Regions from separate parts of the Mus musculus genome. Here all the other regions are reported to be linked to region 1. Evidence: microRNA targets listed by miRTarBase, many of them from high-throughput screens and not tested one by one. Region 1 holds a microRNA gene; each other region holds the end of a gene's coding sequence.
Evidence for each region. The annotated mature microRNA mmu-miR-3067-5p reads AGUUCUCAGGCCCGCUGUGGUGU and lies in region 1 at 4,497-4,519, shown strand. An mRNA with a match to its seed (bases 2 to 7 or 8) in the 3' UTR can be bound and repressed. Matches are read on the target gene's strand: a 7mer-m8 pairs with bases 2 to 8, a 7mer-A1 pairs with bases 2 to 7 and ends in A, and an 8mer does both.

Region 1 (7,966 bases):
CAGCAGCCCTGGCTCATACGAGCCCCCAGCACTTTTTTTATGGCATCCTCCTAGAATGTTTTGTCACCCACAGTCCCATGCTGGGTCCTCCTCTCTCCAGACACTGTCCTAAGTCCTACAATCCCTGCTGTCTCTCATTGTTTATTGCAACAACATAAGCAACTCTCAGGAGGACTAAAGAGGCTCCTTTAAAGAACTACTAGGTATTTATCCAGAGAGACAACTTCCTTGGTCAGAGCATCCTCCCAGGCTGCAGTTTTTTGTTTGTGTTCTTGATATAAGATCTCACAATGTAGCCCAGGCTAGCTTCAGACTCCTGATCTTTCTTCTTTAGCTCCTCCACTCCATCCACCTCTGACCTTTGCTGAGATTCCAGATATGTACCACCATATCTGGCTCACGACTCCTCAGGTTTTCTAGGTATTTGTCTCATCTTTCCTGAAGTTTTTATGCTGCTTCACTTCCTTTAGTATGTCCATTTGGCTGAGCAGCCTGACTCTGTTGTTTGGCCCAGGACTGCCTCGCAATTGCGATGTAAGCAATCAGTTCCAAGACTTAAAAAGAATTCTGCCTGGAGACTGTCATGGGAAGCCCTGCTTTTGTGTCTTTCAGCTGTAGGTGCGGCCTATTGATCTGAGACTCAAGGCTGCCTCATCTTACTTACCTGCATTTCTAACTGACTGGCTTGCCTGTATAGTTTAGACTTGCCATCTCCCTAATTCATGAGCCTCGTCCTTGAAATCTCCCTCTAGTTGTGTGTGTGTGTGTGTGTGTGTGTGTGTGTGTGTGTGAGAGAGAGAGAGAGAGAGAGAGAGAGAGAGAGAGAGAGAGAGAGAGAGGGAGAGAGAGAGGGAGAGAGAGAGAGGGAGAGAGAGAGAGAGACTTGTGTGTGTTTAAGTGTGTGCATGTGTGTGAGTGTGTGTTTGAATTTGTGTGTCTCTGTGTGTGTGTTTCTGGAGAGTGATATAGTGATATAGTCCTTCTTTGGCAACAACCCCCTCCACCATCTCTCCATCTTTCTCCACCATGAACTTTCTGTTTTCTGTCACCACAGTAAGGGCAGCCCACTGGTTGCTGATGACTTGACTTTCAAAGGTGTTTAGGTGTTGGCTACTCAGAAACTTTTCACTTCCTCCTCTGTCTCTTCTCTTGAAGTCAGTAACCTGAAAGTTAGACCAGCCTGAATCCTGCAATGTTTATGTTTGTTGGCCATTTTTGCTTTAAATATATATATATATATATATATAAATAATAATTAAAAAAAAGACGAGGAAGGAGAAGAGTCCTGGAAGAGAGGATAAACTCTGGGCCCCAGCAACGTTAAGGGATTAGCTAAGACTTCATGCTGTCCACCCTCTCTGCTCCTAATTACCATGGGTAATTGTGAGATTCTGAGACTTGAGCCAGTCTTAGCAGACTGTGACGTCCTCTGTGCTGATCCCATTTTGGCCGACACATAACGACCTGGGCTCTGGGCCCCGCACACAGGGTTTGTGTTCATCTCACTCAACCTGCCCTTCCAGCCCTGCCTCCAGCCTTGCTCAGTGTTGTTCTCCCATGGTTTCTCTCTTCCCTGGCACGTGTGACTGGGTAAAGGCACACTGTATGTCTTCTGGTGGCAAGGCCAGGACTTTGTGTGTTCCCAACTTGAGATACTTTTCTGTTGAGCTCCTTCTTTGAGTCAGAGGTTTCTTTGCCAAATGGAGACTGACTAAGCTCTCCCTGCTTGGCACCATCTCAGGGAAAGGTTGGAAGGACATACATGGAAGTGTACAAGTGGGTGTGGTTACCCAAGCTTGCTCTCCTACGGTGTGGGTTATGTCTTCCAGGCATATCCAGGTAGCCCTGGCTCATGCTCATAGTTACAGGGCCAGACCTTTCCATCTTATCTCCATTTCACCAATTTTCCTAAGCAGAGATGAAGTGTTTTGGAATGGCATACTTCACATCAGCACAGTTCCTTGCTCTGTGACCTAATGTAGTTAAAAAGACCCTCGAAATTGATCCCAGCTTGCACTCTGTAAGCCAGCCTGAGAAAACTGGGAGAAGTGGATGGTGAGACTCATGTGGTAGGTGACTGACAAGGTCCAGTGTGGCTCCAAGGATGGACTGGCTTCCGGGTCCTCAGATACATAAGTGAGGCTCCACTCCCTTGAACTTACTCATCACTGTTTGGATGGCACCCAGGGTACTGACTGAAGGGCTTGCAGGGGCTACGAGGATCCCCTTGGCTTAAAGTGACCAAGAGTTCAGCAGCTCTAGCTAGATATTTTGCACTCATTGTTTAAAACAAGCTAGCCCAAACCTACTAGTGTATCAGAAAAATAATTTATTCTTGCCAATGTTATCGGTCTGTTTGATAGAATAGCTGTCTCACTAGTTTCACATGAATTGGCTTTGGGGCTATTCTAAATGGAGGACAGGTAGGACTGGAACATCCAAGATGACCTGGGTCATGTTGCTAGCCGACCAAACCACTTCCCTCTGCTCCTTCAGCAGGCTAGAGAATATATAAGAGCACGCTATGAAAGCAGAAGCTGCAAGCCCTCTGAAGGCCTGGGCTTCTCACCACACTGTTCTTTTGTGAGTTAAAATCAGTCATCGTCCATGTGGACTAGCCAACACAGGGCATAGAGACAAAGGCATTGGAGACTCTATTGTGATCATGCACTGTTACGTGTAAGGAAAGTATAGGATTAAATAAAGCTTGGATTAGCCTGTAGCAATGAAAGATGCTACTGTAGAGAGCGTGTAAAGAACATGGGTGGGCTGGGCTGGGATCCCACCTCTGCCTTCTCCTAGCTATGATTTCCTCCCTCTTTTCCCCTCCCCTCCTCTCTCCTTCATTTTCCCTCCCTCCCTCCCTCCTTCCCTTCCTCCCTCCCTCCCTCCCTCCCTCCTCCTTCCTTCCTTCCTTCCTTCCTTCCTTCCTTCCTTCCTTCCTTCCTTCCTTCCTTCCTTCCCTTTTCTCTCTCTCCCTCTCCCACACCCCCATCTCTGTTTTTCTTTCTTATTAGATAGTTCTTAGTGTAACTTAGGCTTGTCTTCTGATCTTCCTGTCTCCATCTCGTGAATGATGGGATTGCAGATATGCACCACCACACCTGGTTTATGCAGGACTAGGGATCAAACCCAGGGCTTCTGGCATGCCAGATAAGTACTGTATTAACTGAGCCACAGCCTCGGATCCCTAATTCATGATCTTGATCTAACTATTTAGCCAGTCTGTGTTCCTGGTGTTAATATGCCTCCAAAGATTGGAAACAGGGTGAATTGAGTTAATATACGTAGCAGGCCCATCACCAAATCTGTCACTTTGTAGGTACTCAAATAAATGTTTGCTATTCCCATTCACCGTGTAGATGAATATGTAATAACGGGTGAAGTACAAATTTGGGTTTTGGTTTTCTAGTTCTGAGACAAAGAGACAGAAACTCTGAGGTCCAAGCTTCACGTGCCCAGGCTGAGAAGGGATGCTCTGTCAGAAGAGCTGTGGGCACGAACATGTCTGCTCTTGAATGCAGATCTTAGGTGTCTGTTAGGTGTCTGACCTGGAGGAGCCCGCTGTAAAAACTTCTCGCTGAAGAGCAGGTGGCCAGAGGCTAGCAAGGTGGGCTGGATTGTCTGGAGTGCTCCAGTGGAGCTTCAGTTTTCTCTCTGAGTGAACTTAAGAAAATTCACCCTCTTCAGAATCTCTTTTTCTTGTTTATAAAGTGTAGATCATCATAGTGCCCCAGGTAGGTGAGCTGAGAGGTTAGACAGGCAAAGCCCTACTATGGCCTGGTGCATTTCATTCAGGAACATTTGCTCTTATCATTAATCCTAAAAAACCATTAAAGAGATATCTTTTCTTTCTGGAAGACAAATTGTATACTTTTCTCAATGGTTTTTTTTTTTGTGTGTGTATACATATGTTCATGTGGGGATGTGGTTTAGGGTGTACATGTATATACATCCATATGAAGGTAAGGTCTCAGCATTGTTACTATTATTACTATTATTATCATTATCATTATTATTGTTCTGAGACACTGTCTCTTAGTGTGGAGCTCAGCAGGGATGGCTGACCAATGAGCCCCAGGGATGCTCCTGGATCCATCTGTTCCGTCAGTTGGTGAGGTTATGGAACTGTGGTGCCCATGCCAGGCTTTGGATCCACAAGCCGGGGGTCTGACCTGAAGTCCCCTTGCTTCTGTGGCAGGCACTTCACTTACAGAAACAGCCCATCTTGCCAGCCCAACTGTTCTGTCATGCCAGGATCTTCCTTACAAGACACCAGACTTTCAGAGTGGAGAGTAAAGCGACAAACCCTATATTTCGTCTTCTCCTTAGTCCATGCTACACTGCATTTTTCTAGATTTGGGGGCTTCATTGTCTTTATGATTTAACTCTCCACAGGTGGTCATAGACACCGAAGGATTTCCAGAAATCCATCCACAGGGCTCAAGCCCCCCGGTCGGCGTCTCTTTCAGCCCAACTCCTGCCCCAGCTTCCCCAGTTCTCAGGCCCGCTGTGGTGTGAAGTTAGGTTCACCAAGCGGCTGCCCTGGGAGAGGGGGAGGTGTGCCTCCTCTTCCCCCTGCATCTGCAGAAGTCTGATTTATGGCTGGAGGGGTTGGCCTAGAGCGTCTTAATTTAAAGCCCCTGTCAGAGGTCGTTACACAAGCGTGGTGCCAGTAAAAGCTGCTTCCCTCTCCCTTTGTTTCTTTGTCAGCTCTTTCATGGCATGAAATATGAGGGAGGAATGAGGCTACCAAACTGGATCTGAGAGATCTACCCCAAGCCCCCGGTGCAATCCCCTTGAAGCCGTGTTGGTGTTTGCCTGCCAAGATCTAAGGAAGGTGGAGGGGTTAACTTTAGGGGCCATAAGGGCTGCACGGGTTTTCTTTTTAAAATGTTGTCTGCGGTAAGGAAGCAAATGCCACGCTTTATTTTTTTAAGCAGTTAAACAAAAAAATTAAAATCAAGCAATAACATCGCCTAGCCCTCAAAATAAAACCCGCAGCAAAACAAAGAAAGGAAAAAAAAAGATCAGGAAGAGAAGATGGGGTGATTTACTGGGCAGGGTTGTCCAAGAAAGCGTCCGATAGGTGTGGGGCTCTTGCGAGTGTGTACACCTGGCATAGGGCCCCAGTCACTGTCTCTGTCTCTGCCTCTGCCTGGCTCTGGAGAGAGTTGGCTTGGCTACTTGGACGTGTTCACACGTTCCTGAAGATGCCAACTACAGATACCTTTCTGCATCCCTTGTTCCTACTCCTGTCTAATGGGAGCATTAATGAATATTAGATTCAAGCCCACTAGCTTTCTTTGTCTCCCTGTGTTGGAGGGCGAAAGCAACCAGGGCTGGCTCTTGCTTCACTCGCATTCGGGGTGTGGAACATTACCCTGCACAAGGGTGGTGGTCTGTGGTTCTGTCCTGCATGCCTGGCCTAGGGAGTGCCCCCTTGCATAGGCAATCCAGCATTCACTTGCAGGGCAGTCCGGCTATTGCCTCTTCTGAAGCCTGTAGCCGGCGTGTCGGCAGGGACAACTCTAAAACTGGAGGGACATTCCAGCTCTGGAGCACACTGCAGCTCAGAGTAGCCCTGATGTCCTGTCTGGATTGTTGCTACAGAGAGCCTCTGTGGTGAGAGTGCTGATGAGTCTCTGGCAGAGTAGACAGCCACGGGGAGGCTCCGGCCAGCCCTCTGGGGCTTTCTTTCACGTTGGCAGCATGCAAGACATGGGTGTCGGGGATGATTCACGGTTCTTTGGGGGCAGGCCTGGTCCTGGCTCTTTATTATGGGTTCTGGACAGGAGGAGGAGTACTCATCACCAGGAGCTGCATCTTATCTTACAGAGAAAGTCCATTCCTGTGACCAGGAAAGACAGAGTGCCCTGGAAGAGGCGCGGCAGAATCCCCGAGAGGGCATTGTGATCCCCGAGTGTGCTCCTGGTGGGCTCTATAAGCCGGTGCAATGCCACCAATCCACAGGCTACTGTTGGTGCGTCCTAGTAGACACAGGGCGCCCATTGCCGGGGACTTCCACACGGTAAGCCCGCTCTGAGCATCCTGAGACAGGGACTGGCTCGCCTCTGGTTATTCTGCTTTCATTGTCTTCGCTGCCCTACTTCTCACAGACTCAAGTCACAGGAGACTGAAGTCTCCTTTCCAAAGCAGATGAGGGTCTAGCGGAAGGGCCTGGAGGACCTGGATCCTGACCACCGATTTGTGGATTTTCGAAACCTACTTAATCTCTCTCAACACCAGTTCCCTGCTGAAAATCTTATGCACCACCCTGGTCTTGAAGTGACAACCCCCCCCCCCAAATCCACGTGCAGACTAGAGATGGCATTGTTATCACGCTTGCGTGGTTAAAATGACATGCCTGAACATGTCTCAATGGGAGCATGTGTACTGGATTGTCTTGTAGCTTCCAGACAGTTCAGGGACTGTTTTACTTTCCTTCCCAAGGGCTCTAGGCTTAGTGAAAGCACAGGTTGTTGCTGGGCAGTAGTGGCTGAAGAAGACTCAGTTGCCAACCCCCTCAAAACGCCTCACTTCTCTGTCTCTCCCATAAGCTATGTGATGCCAAGTTGCGAGAGTGACGCCAGAGCCAAGAGCATAGAGGCCGATGACCCTTTCAAGGACAGGGAGTTGCCAGGTAGGCGACACAGCCCTGCCCGGGCTGCACCGGCAGTTCTTTGGGCTTCTCATCTCTCCCCTGTGCAGGTCCCACTCTCTCCTCTATGTCTGTTTTCCCAATTGGCAGCACAGAGCAAGGCATGCTGGGAAGGCTCATCATAGGAGCACAGACCTGGAAACTGTGGAATCTACAGCCAGTCAGTCCTGTGCCCTTGAAAACACTGTTCTCTTCCCTTGCTCTTTTCTCCTTGTCTTAAGAATGTAGTCAGGGACTTAGAGCTCTGTCACTGGAGTGTCACGGTCATTTTCTAAGTCAGTGAAGTGGGGATGGCATTTTGGGAGGCTGTAAAGCAAAGATAGCTTACAGGGAGTGGCTTCCTTGAGGGGCCTGTCTGGTGTCTGTCACCTGTTCTGTGGATTGCTTATATGATGACCCTTGATGACACAGGGTGGCCACTAGGGGTGATATGAGACATACCGGCAATAGCTCAAGACCCCAAAATTGATGCTGTGGGTGGGTTTTTCCTTATTTGTAGGAAACTCCAAGTGGCAATAAAAATTCTAAATACAGGCTATGTGGACTGTGGACTTTCCCCTGTAAATCCTCTTAAGCTCCTCTTCTTTGTGCACCATTCTAGAAAAAGCCTAAGCACAGAGAAATTTTCTCACGGGTGACCCTGTCTTAGACCTACACACACACAGGAGAGCATTGTTAGAGAAAACACCCCCATGCCTCTATGTAGGTGGGAGCTAAGTTAGTGATTGATAGCTGTTTTTACTCAGTACAAGATTAGGTCTGTCCTGGTGGGAACTGGTGCCACCTTCCTATTACCTGGCAAGACTCCAAAGTGAGAAGCAGGGAGTCCTGAAAGTCTGGGACTTTCTGTGTGAGGTTAGTAGAAATCACAGTGTCACAAAAGTTGAGGCAGGGAGGCCAGGGTGCCTTCTTGTAGCCACCCCAGGTCAGACGGAAATGGCCCTTCTATTTCATGCCAGATACGGCTTAATCTAGTCCTCAAAGACACGAGGTTCACAGAGTAGAGGAGACAAGTCATAGGCAGGTAAAGGAAGACATGCACATATAGATTCAGGACAGGTTCCCTCCAGAGAAGAGTGAGGTGCTATGGGAAAGACAGCAAGAACCTACTGAGTCCACACTGCTCTGAGAAGTCGTGTTTAAGACCTGGAAGGTTGGAGAAATGAGGGCTTAGTTGCTGCAGGTGTAGGGGTGGGGCTGTGGCTATGCTAAGGGCACATTTGATGCAGGCGAGTAGGGCTCCCATCTCTGCAGTGGTAGGGCAGGGTTTCCCCAGCAATGCTTCTCCTTGTGGCATGGATCTGA
Region 2 (5,483 bases), not on the chromosome of region 1:
TTCTCTTTAGCAATGCGATGCACAGGAAGCCCAGTAGCATCTTTGAGGGTGGAGCGAAGACAGTTAAAAGCTAGGATATGGGTGGGTCTCAGATTTCTGCAGGATCCATGACTGAAAAGCGAGTCTTATAACTGGTCAGTAGTTAAGCTGTTTAAAACCTGCCTGCTCACTTTGGAGAGGGGGTATCTGACTTCCAATAATAAAAGGAATCAAGGCAAGTGCCCAAGTTAAAGCCTCAAAGAATTAGTTTTGTCCTCTATTTACCCAGATCCAAAGGCTCACAAATCATGACACATCTTCAGAGTAACTGTTAGAATATTCTAAGTGACCTGGTGATATGCAAAGCCTGCATCTTAACAAGGAGCATGCAGCTTGCATCAACTTCTTAACATTTTTCACTGAGACTTGGCTGAACTTCTTTACCAGGGTCCACAAATCTGTTGATTTTTCTATACTTTGCAGATACTTCTCAAATTCCCAGATGTTCCACTCACAGTTGCCTCATGACAGGCTGTTTTAATTATAAATATCCTTTTTAGGATTTGATATTTCATATTTTACCCCTTAGTGAGTTATCTAATACATTGAGCCCTAGAGAAGTGGTTCTCAACCTTCCTAATGCCACGAGTCTTTAATATAGTTCCTCATGTTGTGGTGACCCTCAACCATAAGATTATTTCATAACTAGTTCATAACTATACATTTGATATTGTTATAAATCATAATGGCAATCTCTGTTAGTCAGCATATCTGTTATGTGACCTACCCACCCCCAAAGGGGTTGCGATCCAGAAGTTGAAAACTGATGCTCCAGAGACTCAACCAACTCACGTCAACCAATCTCATAGAGAGTTCTTGTTTGGGTGATAAAGGCCAAGGTTCTCATCCCGTGTGAACTATCATACACTGAATCAATTAGCAGTCTCACCAGATAACTAGCTACTCTAGCAATACTCAACAATACTCGGTCAATATTTAATCACTTCATTTTTTATAAATGACTTTGTGACTTTTAAATTACAGCAAGTTCTACCTAATGTTGGATTTTTACAGAAGAGACAAGGTTTTTTGTTTTTGTTTTTAAATGAAATGATCTTTTTCAGATGCTGGCTCAGTTCTTTCATCCCAAGAAACCAGCAACATTTTTTTCAGTGACCACTTCACGATGGAGTCAGAGCATCTCATCTGAGTTTTAAGCTTTGTGTCTTCCTTCACTTCCAGGAATCTTGAGACTTCAGTCAGGATGTGATGGCCAACATGATGGAAAACTCACAAAAATCTTCCCTTGACACAGTACCACTTTTTCATCTCCAACTCCTTCTTTGTTCTCCACACTAAAGTTCCACAAATTCTCCACAGAAAGACCATCTCTACATATTTGATGCCACCACACTGACAATTTTGAATACATTACAGTTACACCCTCCATAAAAAGCCACATTAGAATAGATTTTGTCGAACTTTATGTTATATTCAAAGTACATGAGGAATTTGTGAAAACTGTTTTCTGGTCTGTATTACTGGGGTTTCTGATTAAGTAGGTTTGGGGTGAGAACCAAGAATCCTCATTTCTGTTAAGTTCCTAGCCTCCCATGCTGCTGTTCCTGGGACAGGCTAAGAACCACAACTTAGATTGTTCAGCAACGCTGCCTACCTAGTATCCTTCCTACCCGTCTTCTAGTTAAGACAGGCCAGACTCTTATAAGAATAAAGCCCTTTCCCATGCCATAGAAGGCACTTGTCTTTGACCTACAAATAGAAAAAGAACATGGATGACAAAGTAAGAAAACTCATGAGAATCTTGGCATGTGTTTCTAGATCATGGGGAAAAAAAGTAAGAAAAAGAAATCTGTTAAAGAAAGGAATTCTGGAAGACAGTGTCATTTATAAAATAAAACTACATAGGCTGGGTGAAGTGGTGCAGCCATGTAATTCTAGAAGTTGAGAGGCTGAGGCAGGAGCATTGCAAGCTTGAGGCCAGCAAGGGAAGAAAGGAAGGAAGGAAAGAAGGAAGGAAGTGATAGATTTGGAGGTACAAATATTAAACTGTATCTAATTGTTTAGCTGGTTCTTGGTTGTATACCATCCAAGATACTAGCTCGATTATGGGCTTAGGTATACAACATCAAGAACTAACTCTAGCTTAAATGTTTGGGACATTTGGTGATACTGTTCCCAGAAGCTCATCTTAGAGGAATAATCAAAACCATGGTTAAGCTGCTTGGTTTAATTTTTTTTTTAGCACTTGAAAAAAACGTACAGTAGTTTGAAGTCAGTCTTTGCAAACCTCGACAGAGGTCAAAGATTTCATTCATACGTACAAAATTAGTTACAAATTTTTTTTTTTTTTTGGCAATTTCATCTTAGTAACCCGTTTTATCCTATTGCCATTGTCCCAACCATTGAAAAAGTTTACAATAATTTACATAGAAATATCTTCAAAGTGCTTAAGAATAGTGATTGTTCTCTGGGATATGTACAGGTGGCCTATACAATGTATGTACAGGTGGGAGTCACTATAGCACAAGGTTCATTGCTGGAATATGGCTTTCTAGGGAAAGTGCATATTTGGCCAGAGATGGCAATACTGTCTAGGGGCTCAAGGGTTACAGATACTTGGTAACCACATCCAGAGCTGAAGTAGAATGTGGCCAAGAATATTTACAAAAGTAATATAAAAATGATCAAGTACTCAAACTTGATCCACAAAAAGATATCTTGATGTTCTTCCAGATGGGAGGAAGAAAGGAGACTTCAGCGCTGGCTCTGTTACCATTCCAGAGTAGGGTGTTATTGGTGTAGACCTCATAGACCAAGATTTGTTCAGAACTCAAGCCAGATCATCATCTGTGCTTACAACTGATATCTGCAGAGAAGACAAAGGTTCAGGTGAGCTTGGCGGTTACTCTACGGAGTGGACTTTGCTTTTGAGTAGGCCATTTAAAGACCAAAAGAGTTGGAGGTCAGAAACATAACATTATTATTTTTTTTATGTACCCCAAGCTGAAAATCTAAAATTCAAAAGGGGATTCCAAGTCTGAAATCTTCTGAGTATCACCATGACACTACAAAAGAAAAATTCTACATCTAACCTTATATTATTGGTTGTGGTCAAAATGAACATACATCAAAATGTCATGTAAAGTGTATATAAAACAAATGGATTTTGTGTTCAAACTTCTTATGTATGCAAAAACTTCAAAATCCATGCCCCTCTGAACACTTTGGACACCAAGTATTTTAAATATGGGATATTTAACTTGTACCTACTTGGTTGGAAAAAAACTTTGACTGATTCTGTTTACGGACTATAAATCTTAAAGACAAATGTGAAAAGATATATGATATGCACTGAACCTTACTCCCTGTTCCACCAGAGATCATGCAAGGACACTGTTCATGTTCATCATGGTTCAGTCAGCATGGTCCTGAAGTGGAGGCCAAATATGTACTTGAGTTTTTAGTGGAAGAACAAGCGATTGCTGTTGTTGCTCTTGTAGAAAGCTGTCTCTCTGGGTGGGATGGAGCACCTCTCCAAGGAAAGCACTTATTACTTTTGGCTAATTGAATCTTACTCAAGCTATTGACTTTCAGTCAACTCCTCTATCCACAATTCTCATGTGTCCACACTGATTTACCTTTAGGTATTAGTATGCAAGGAATCAAAGTTTACAAAGGAGCTTGTTGGTTCATACACTATTCATATGTCATTTCTATCATCTAAAATAAGGCCAGGTAGGACTTACCTCCCCTTCCTCTGTGGGTGAAATGCTTATTAACTGACTGCTCTCATGGACCAGACATTTAGTATTTAACAAGCAGTCATTGGATAAAATGTCTGGGATTCAATGCTCCTCCCCAGCCCAGGTAGCCATAGCTAGTGATTCTAGTCTCCTTGGAAGCAACTGATGTCAAGCCAGTGAATATAGACAAAGTATACTTACTGCTGGGTATGTGTGTCCTACAGAAGCGCTGTGTCTACCAATGTCTATCGACAGGTCCTCTTCAGTGGTCTTCAAGTACACAGGATTGTCAAAGTTCATGCTTTTCATGTTTTTATGTTGCCAATTCCTCCACATCAAGTAGCCACCTACTGCTGCCATCACTAAGAGCACTGAAAAAAAAAATCAGAGGTGACTAAATGGAGTCTAATGTTTATGGATCTATGGGAATTAACACTAACAACAGTTCCATGTTTTAGGGAGCTTGGACAACTAGAAGTTGGAATATAGATGAGACAAAGTTTTGAAATAAATTCAGCCCAGTGGTTGTGTGAATCTTTGCACTGGAGTTGGGGGAAGTACACCCAGGGAAGTATAGAGTCCTGAGCCCTAACCCAAGGCCAGCTACATAAAAAATTACAGAAGCCTTTGGCATGCTAGTCAAGTGGTTCTGGTGTGTTAGGTCAACCAGTAAGCTCAGTCGAAGGGGACAGTAAAGCAAAGTGCCTTCAAATTCACCTGCTTGACAGTGGCTTTAGAGATGCTTTTCTCTGAGTTTGAAAATACTTAACTACTTTTAATTTACTCTTCATGAATTCTACAGCTCATTCAAAAAGCATTTGACCATTTGCGTCTCTCCTCTTTGTGAATGACTATATACAATAAATGGGACTGGAATGAAACCCTTATTGGAGATACTTCCTCTAAATAGGGATAAGCAAGGTTAACATGTTCAACAGCCCATAAGATCTTGTAGATAACTGATGGATATTCACCATCAAGGGAAAGATGACACTGAAGAGTAGGTGCCAGGTAGGTGAGGAGGTAAATGGAATTCAGTGTCACATGTGTTAGGACAGCAAAAGAGACCACTGGAAGGTGGCTGTAGATGAACTAAAATTGTCCATAAAAATCTATATGAGAAGCAAATTTACTTACAGAGAGGAAGGATGGCCCAGGCAGCTGAAGTCCCTTTTGGGGGAACACTGACTTCTGATACTGCTGTGGTCACATTGATCCCTACAAGGACATACAAGTAATCAGTCTATAAGGATTTGAATTAAGACTTAGACATCTACGAATTAGGTAGAGATCCTTATACCTTTGTACTTAATATTGATTTCTAGTATCCATTATAATTAGATATCAGAAGAACTTAGGCTTATAATTATTTGAGTTACATTAAACCTATAGGTTTAAATAAGTCAAGAGAAATCCAGGATGTGCAGGGTCTAAATCTTTGGGCTTTAGGCACAAGTAGCCAGTTGGGACAGAACCAGTAGTTAAAAGCTGCACTAATTATTTAAGCGGCAGTTAGTTGAGATTAACAGTTTGCAGTGCTGGACCCAATACCTCCAGGAACCAGTCCACTAGTTCGTAGAATGTCTGTTGTGTTGATATCTTTTGTCTCACTGTAAGTCACAGGAGTTGAAGTACCTGGATTATAAAAACCAAGAACCCGGTTAAGGCCAAGGTTCCTGAGTTGCTGACTGTGTAGTCCAGAGAAGTAATGCTGAAAGGTTATTTTAATTCCAGGTAATA
Region 3 (5,483 bases), not on the chromosome of region 1:
GTGGGCAAAGAGGAAGTGCCTGCAGGTCAGCTTTGGGGGGGAGGCAGCCCGCCTGAGTGCCTGGGACTGGGGTTTCCCAAATTGGCTACCAGGCTCTTCAAGGACTCATTGAACTCTGCCTTAAAGGGTCCAGTGCCTCCACTGTGGGGACGGTGACATCATCAGTGGCAGGAGACCCCATGGAGACATCACCTGTGATTCACCTGGTGACAGATGCCAAGGGTACTGTCATCCATGAAGTCCACGTCCAGATGCAGGAGCTTCCCCTGGGCATGAAAGCCCTGACCCCAGAGGTGGGTGATCTTCCTGAGCTTTGGCCACAGGCCAGGTTGTAGTCAGATCCTGCCTTCATTAGGACCAGAGCAAGATCACCTCCTGCTCCCACCCCAAGAAAGCACAGCAGGCTGTGGGGAGAGCTTAGTAGATGGCCTGTCAAGGCAGGGAAGCAGCGAGGGAGTACGAGTTCAAGTCTAGGGAGAACGGGGTGGAATTTAATGAGAACAAAGTCAGCTAGCTGGCTGTGCAGCATGGGGCTCCAGAGATGGGCCTGTGGGGAGTCTGCCGGGGGGTGGGGGTGGGGGAATGGGTGCCCTGTGCTGGGCTGCCTGACAGGCCTGCCTCCTTCCTTCTCTCCCTCTATCTCCCTTATAGTCCCCAGACTCGGAGGAGCTCCCCTGTTCCAGTGAGAACAGCCGTGAGAACCTGCTACATCAGGCCATGCAGAATTCTGGCATCGTCCTTGAGAGGGTTGCTGGAGAGGAGAGTGCTCTGGAGCCAGCCCCTCCCTCTGGGTCCAGTCCCCAGTGCCTGGGAGATGGGTCCCCTGAACTGCCTCTGCTGAAGGTGGAGCAGATAGAGACAGTAGGTTTCTGTTACTGTCTTGCTCCCTCTGACGGGGCTGACCCAATGTTTGCTTCTCATGTGGGGGTGGGAGCTGCTAGCTGCCTCATTCATTTTTATTTAGTTTTTTTCTGTCTTTGAGAAACAGTCTAGTGTAATCCAGGTAGCCTCAAATTTACAGTGTAGCCAGTGTTAACCTCAGTTCTTGGTTCTCCTGCTTCTACTGGGTACTGGAATTGCAGGCTGCACCACCATGCCTGGCTTGAAGAGTAGCATTTCTTTCTGCTTTACTGCTCTCTAGACTGTTAACTCCCTTACCTAAAGCCTGGAGGGAAGAGGGCTGACTGTTGCTTTTGGTACCATTGAAGCGTAGCTTACAGTAGGTACTAGAGGTTGGTCTGTGGTCTCCCAGCAGGTGGCCAGTGAGGCCGCCACCGTGCCCAGGACCCACCCGTGCCCTCAGTGCAGTGAGACTTTCCCAACAGCAGCCACGCTGGAGGCCCACAAGAGAGGTCACATAGGTGGGTAGCAGGGAGGTGAGGGGTCCGTGGGTAGGGTGGTCCCGTGGGCTGGCAGCTGGTAGGCTTGTGGGTGGTGAAAATGCCCTGACATTGGGTATGGCTTCAGCGCCGAGGCCGTTCACCTGCACACAGTGTGGCAAGGCCTTCCCCAAAGCCTACCTGCTCAAGAAGCACCAGGAGGTGCACGTGCACGAGCGCCGCTTCCGTTGTGGAGACTGTGGGAAGCTTTACAAGACCATCGCTCATGTGCGGGGCCACCGGCGTGTTCACTCAGACGAGAGGCCTTTCCCTTGTCCCCAGTGCGGCAAGCGTTACAAAACCAAGGTGGGCTGCGGTCCTGCAGAGATCCTTATACCCAAACCACCCTCCGCTGTCTAATGCCCTCTTCCTAGCCTAGTCTGTTTACTCTTGGCCTCAGACCTGGGGGTGGGGTACGGTGGAGAGCAGGCTGTCACAGAAAGGTCTCCCTAGAATGCCCAGCAAGTACACTTCCGGACACACCTGGAAGAAAAGCCCCACGTGTGCCAGTTCTGCAGCCGAGGCTTCCGGGAGAAGGGCTCTCTGGTGCGGCATGTGAGGCACCACACAGGCGAGAAACCTTTCAAGTGCTACAAGTGTGGCCGTGGCTTCGCGGAGCATGGCACACTCAACCGGCACCTGCGCACTAAAGGTTTGAGCCACACGTGGCAGGAGAGGGTGAGGGCGTGAGGGCTGGGGTCAAGTGGCCCAGACTGGGCTGACCATCTCTGTTGGCAGGGGGCTGCCTGCTAGAAGTGGAGGAGTTGCTGGTGTCTGAGGAGAGCCCTTCTGCGGCTGCCACTGTGCTTGCAGAAGACCCCCACACCGTGCTGGTGGAGTTCTCGTCTGTGGTAGCTGATACCCAAGAGTACATTATTGAGGTAGGTATAAAGATGGTGGGGCAGGTTTGGACTCGGGACAGCCCATGATGACCTCCAGTCAACTGTCCAGGCCACTGCAGATGACACAGAGACCAGTGAAGCCACCGAGATCATTGAGGGCACGCAGACAGAGGTGAGGGTCTGGGTGAGGGATGGGAGGATCACCGGACTGCTGGGCAGCCCCTCAGGCTGAGCCATGCTCTCTGCAGGTGGACAGTCACATCATGAAGGTGGTCCAGCAGATCGTGCACCAGGCTGGTGCTGGGCACCAGATCATCGTGCAGAATGTCACCATGGACCAGGAGACAGCACTGGGTTCGGAGGCAACTGCTGCAGACACGATCACCATTGCCACTCCTGAGAGTCTTACTGAGCAGGTGGCCATGACACTGGCTTCAGCGATCAGTGAGGGTACTGTGCTCACAGCCCGGGCAGGTCCAAACAGTACTGAACAGGCCACTGTGACAATGGTGTCATCAGAGGACATAGAGATCCTTGAGCACGGAGGAGAGCTGGTCATTGCTTCACCAGAGGGCCAGCTTGAGGTACAGACGGTCATCGTATAGTTTGAGGGCCTCTGCTGTGGAAGATCGAGGACCCTGAGTGTCTGCCCGCACTTGCCTGGTCAGAAGACTTCAGGCAGCCAAAGGAGAGAGAGAGAGAGAGAGAGAGAGAGAGAGAGAGAGAGAGAGAGAGAGAGAACAGGCAGTTTTGGGATTGTTTTTGTTTGTTTGTTTTCTGCTTTACAATAAAACATAAAAAACCTGCAGTTTGTTGTGATTGGGTAGAGGCAGCCTCTGGGGCTGGCACAACTGCCTTCATAGGTACCCTCTGGACACACTTGCCTGCTTAGGCCACCCTCTAGCAACACTCTTGGCTTCTAGCCCTGGTGGCGCCTCAAGGCGCGTGGGTGTCTCTGGCATGTTGACAGACAGCCTCCTACCCTACCTAGCTGGATCTGTGACTCCAGTTTTCCCAGGTCTGCTAGGGTATGAGGTGTTCCTTCTCAGCTTCCAAATCTGGGACTGCCAGGGGCTATGAGGTTGGTCTAGAGACCTAGGAACTTGGGTCAGCCCGAGTAGCTGATGCTTGCTTCTGTGATGGGCCAGTGTTGGAGAAGCAGCAGGAGATGGCAGAGCAGGCTAGGGCTGGGCTTTCTTAATTTCTCAGCCTGCTTCCCTGAGGGGATACAACTCTAGGAAGAAAGAGAAGTTGGCCATGGGCATGGCTGTCCCTTTCGGTATAGTGTTGAGGTGGCTAGGGGTTTTTGCCCTGATTTTCAGTTAATGGAAATGGCTTAGCATATGCTCTGTCCCTTGCCCTCTTGGGTCTCTGGAATGGGAGCCAGTTCTGGAATCCACCCCATGGAAGGGGTGGTTCCCATTGTAGCCCAGCCCCTTCCTGGTCCAGGGCATCAAATACCTGAGTGCTTTAAAATCAGAGCTATTGTGGGTCCAAGACTGCAGTTCATCTTGAGCCATCTTAGGCCCTCAGTCTGGACTGAATCTCACTGACTTGGGATATTTTATTCACAGCCCAGGTAAGTCCAAGGGGCTGGGCTGGGCCAGAGACTGCATGGAAATCGAATCTTTCCAGCCTTGCAATGACATCACTGTCCCCATACACACTGGAGAAACACGGGAGTGTGTCGGGCTGCAGGCCAATCCTGGGTGCCAGATCTAGTTGGTTACAGACATGCTGTGACTTGGTATGGTTTGGTGTTACTCTGGGACATTTCTGTCTCGAGGTTTTCTGCTTTTGTCATGGGTTGGCCCTGGGCCCCGCTGACAGCAGTTTGGGCACTGGGGGTCATGGGAGCCACAGCGCTGCGGATTGGAGCCTTCAATGTTCAGAGCTTTGGAGACAACAAAGTGTCAGATCCAGACTGTGGCAGTGTCATAGCACAGGTGAGGCCAAGTGGGGTGGGGATGGGCTGGGAGCAATGGAGGGTGAGTGAGGGAGGGCTTGGGAAGTGGGGAGCAGATGGGAACCAGGAGCTAGGCTCTGGGCAATTAGGCTGATTGGGACGGTGCATCTGTGGGTTTTCCTCCAGATCCTGGCCGGCTATGATATCGCCCTGGTGCAAGAGGTACGAGACCCAGACCTAAGTGCAGTGTCCTTGCTCATGGAGCAAATTAACAGGTGTGGCAGGGCTGGGCCCCACAACCCCAGCCAAGATCACAAGCTTGGTTCGGTGCCTTGACCCAGGGACTGGCGTCTCTCTCCGCAGAGTGTCCAAGCACGAGTACGGCTTTGTGAGCAGCAAGCCACTCGGACGTGACCAGTACAAGGAAATGTACCTGTTTGTTTACAGGTGAGAGGCGGGTTGCGGGGAGGGGACACATTGGGGCAGAGGTAAGCAGCTCCAGACATCTTGTTCTCTGCTGCTCCCAGGAAAGATGTAGCGTCAGTGGTGAGCACGTACCAGTATCCAGACCCAGAGGACGCTTTCAGCCGGGAGCCTTTTGTGGTCAAATTCTCAGTTCCTAGCTGTGGTGAGTTGATACTGCCCTCTCCCAGACAAGCCTACCTCTTCCAGGCTTCCCTTGACCCTCATATCCCCCCACCTTCCACAGCCACCAAGGAGCTGGTGCTGATCCCCCTCCATGCAGCACCACACCAGGCGGTGGCAGAGATCGACGCGCTCTACGATGTGTACCTTGATGTCATTGACAAGTGGAACACTGATGTAGGCAACACCCCCCCCCCCGCCCCCAACTCACGTCCCAGACCACAAGTGTTCTCAGAGGTCTGGACTACTGAGCACTGCTAAGATGTACTGGCTGTGCTTGCCTACAGGACATGCTGTTTCTGGGTGACTTTAATGCCGATTGCAAGTACGTGAAGGCGCATGACTGGCCATCGATCCGCCTTCGAAGCAGTGAGGTGTTTAAATGGCTCATCCCAGACAGTGCGGACACCACAGTGGGCAACTCAGACTGTGCCTATGACCGGATTGTAGTGAGTGGCGCCCATCTGCGCAGGAGCCTGAAGCCCCACTCAGCCTCAGTTCACAACTTTCAGGAGGAATTTGACCTAGATCAGACCCAGGTGAGTGTGGACAGGGCTCCAGCAGACATACTAGTCAGCCCCCTCAGGAGAGGGCTCACAGAAATGCTCACCTGCTGGGAGTTTACACTGATGCTTGCTCTAGCAAAAGCAATTATCGCCAAGGGTCCTTAGAGTGCCAAGCCCCCAGGAAGGGACTGTTGGCACACTTCTG

Region 2: miRTarBase lists Vldlr as a target of mmu-miR-3067-5p. Seed matches in the 3' UTR shown: 7mer-A1 at 2,462-2,468, 7mer-A1 at 1,324-1,330, 7mer-m8 at 879-885 and 7mer-m8 at 603-609.
Region 3: the mRNA of E4f1 is a reported target of mmu-miR-3067-5p. Seed matches in the 3' UTR shown: 7mer-A1 at 2,958-2,964.

What each region holds. Positions count from the first base shown.
Region 1 is chr12:81,161,669-81,169,634 of GRCm38, forward strand. It overlaps Mir3067 (microRNA 3067), which reads left to right and starts at 4,483; the gene lies at 4,483-4,566. It overlaps Smoc1 (SPARC related modular calcium binding 1), which reads left to right. Exons shown (of 13, transcript NM_022316.2): 8 at 5,839-6,031; 9 at 6,561-6,643.
Region 2 is chr19:27,246,488-27,251,970 of GRCm38, reverse strand. Vldlr (very low density lipoprotein receptor) reads right to left here. Exons shown (of 18, transcript NM_001161420.1): 16 at 4,881-4,961; 17 at 3,945-4,114; 18 at 1-2,866. The coding sequence ends at 2,831. The region is part of intron 3 of Gm35438 (a long non-coding RNA gene); the gene reads left to right. Among named protein-coding and RNA genes, the nearest start is that of Vldlr, 32 kb to the right of the region's middle.
Region 3 is chr17:24,441,324-24,446,806 of GRCm38, reverse strand. It overlaps E4f1 (E4F transcription factor 1), which reads left to right. Exons shown (of 14, transcript NM_001301784.1): 6 at 1-25; 7 at 127-293; 8 at 652-861; 9 at 1,253-1,361; 10 at 1,468-1,685; 11 at 1,833-2,031; 12 at 2,118-2,260; 13 at 2,331-2,393; 14 at 2,470-3,029. The coding sequence ends at 2,826. Dnase1l2 (deoxyribonuclease 1-like 2) reads left to right here and starts at 3,706. Exons shown (of 8, transcript NM_025718.3): 1 at 3,706-3,800; 2 at 4,008-4,167; 3 at 4,314-4,402; 4 at 4,491-4,574; 5 at 4,655-4,755; 6 at 4,837-4,949; 7 at 5,060-5,311. The coding sequence starts at 4,024.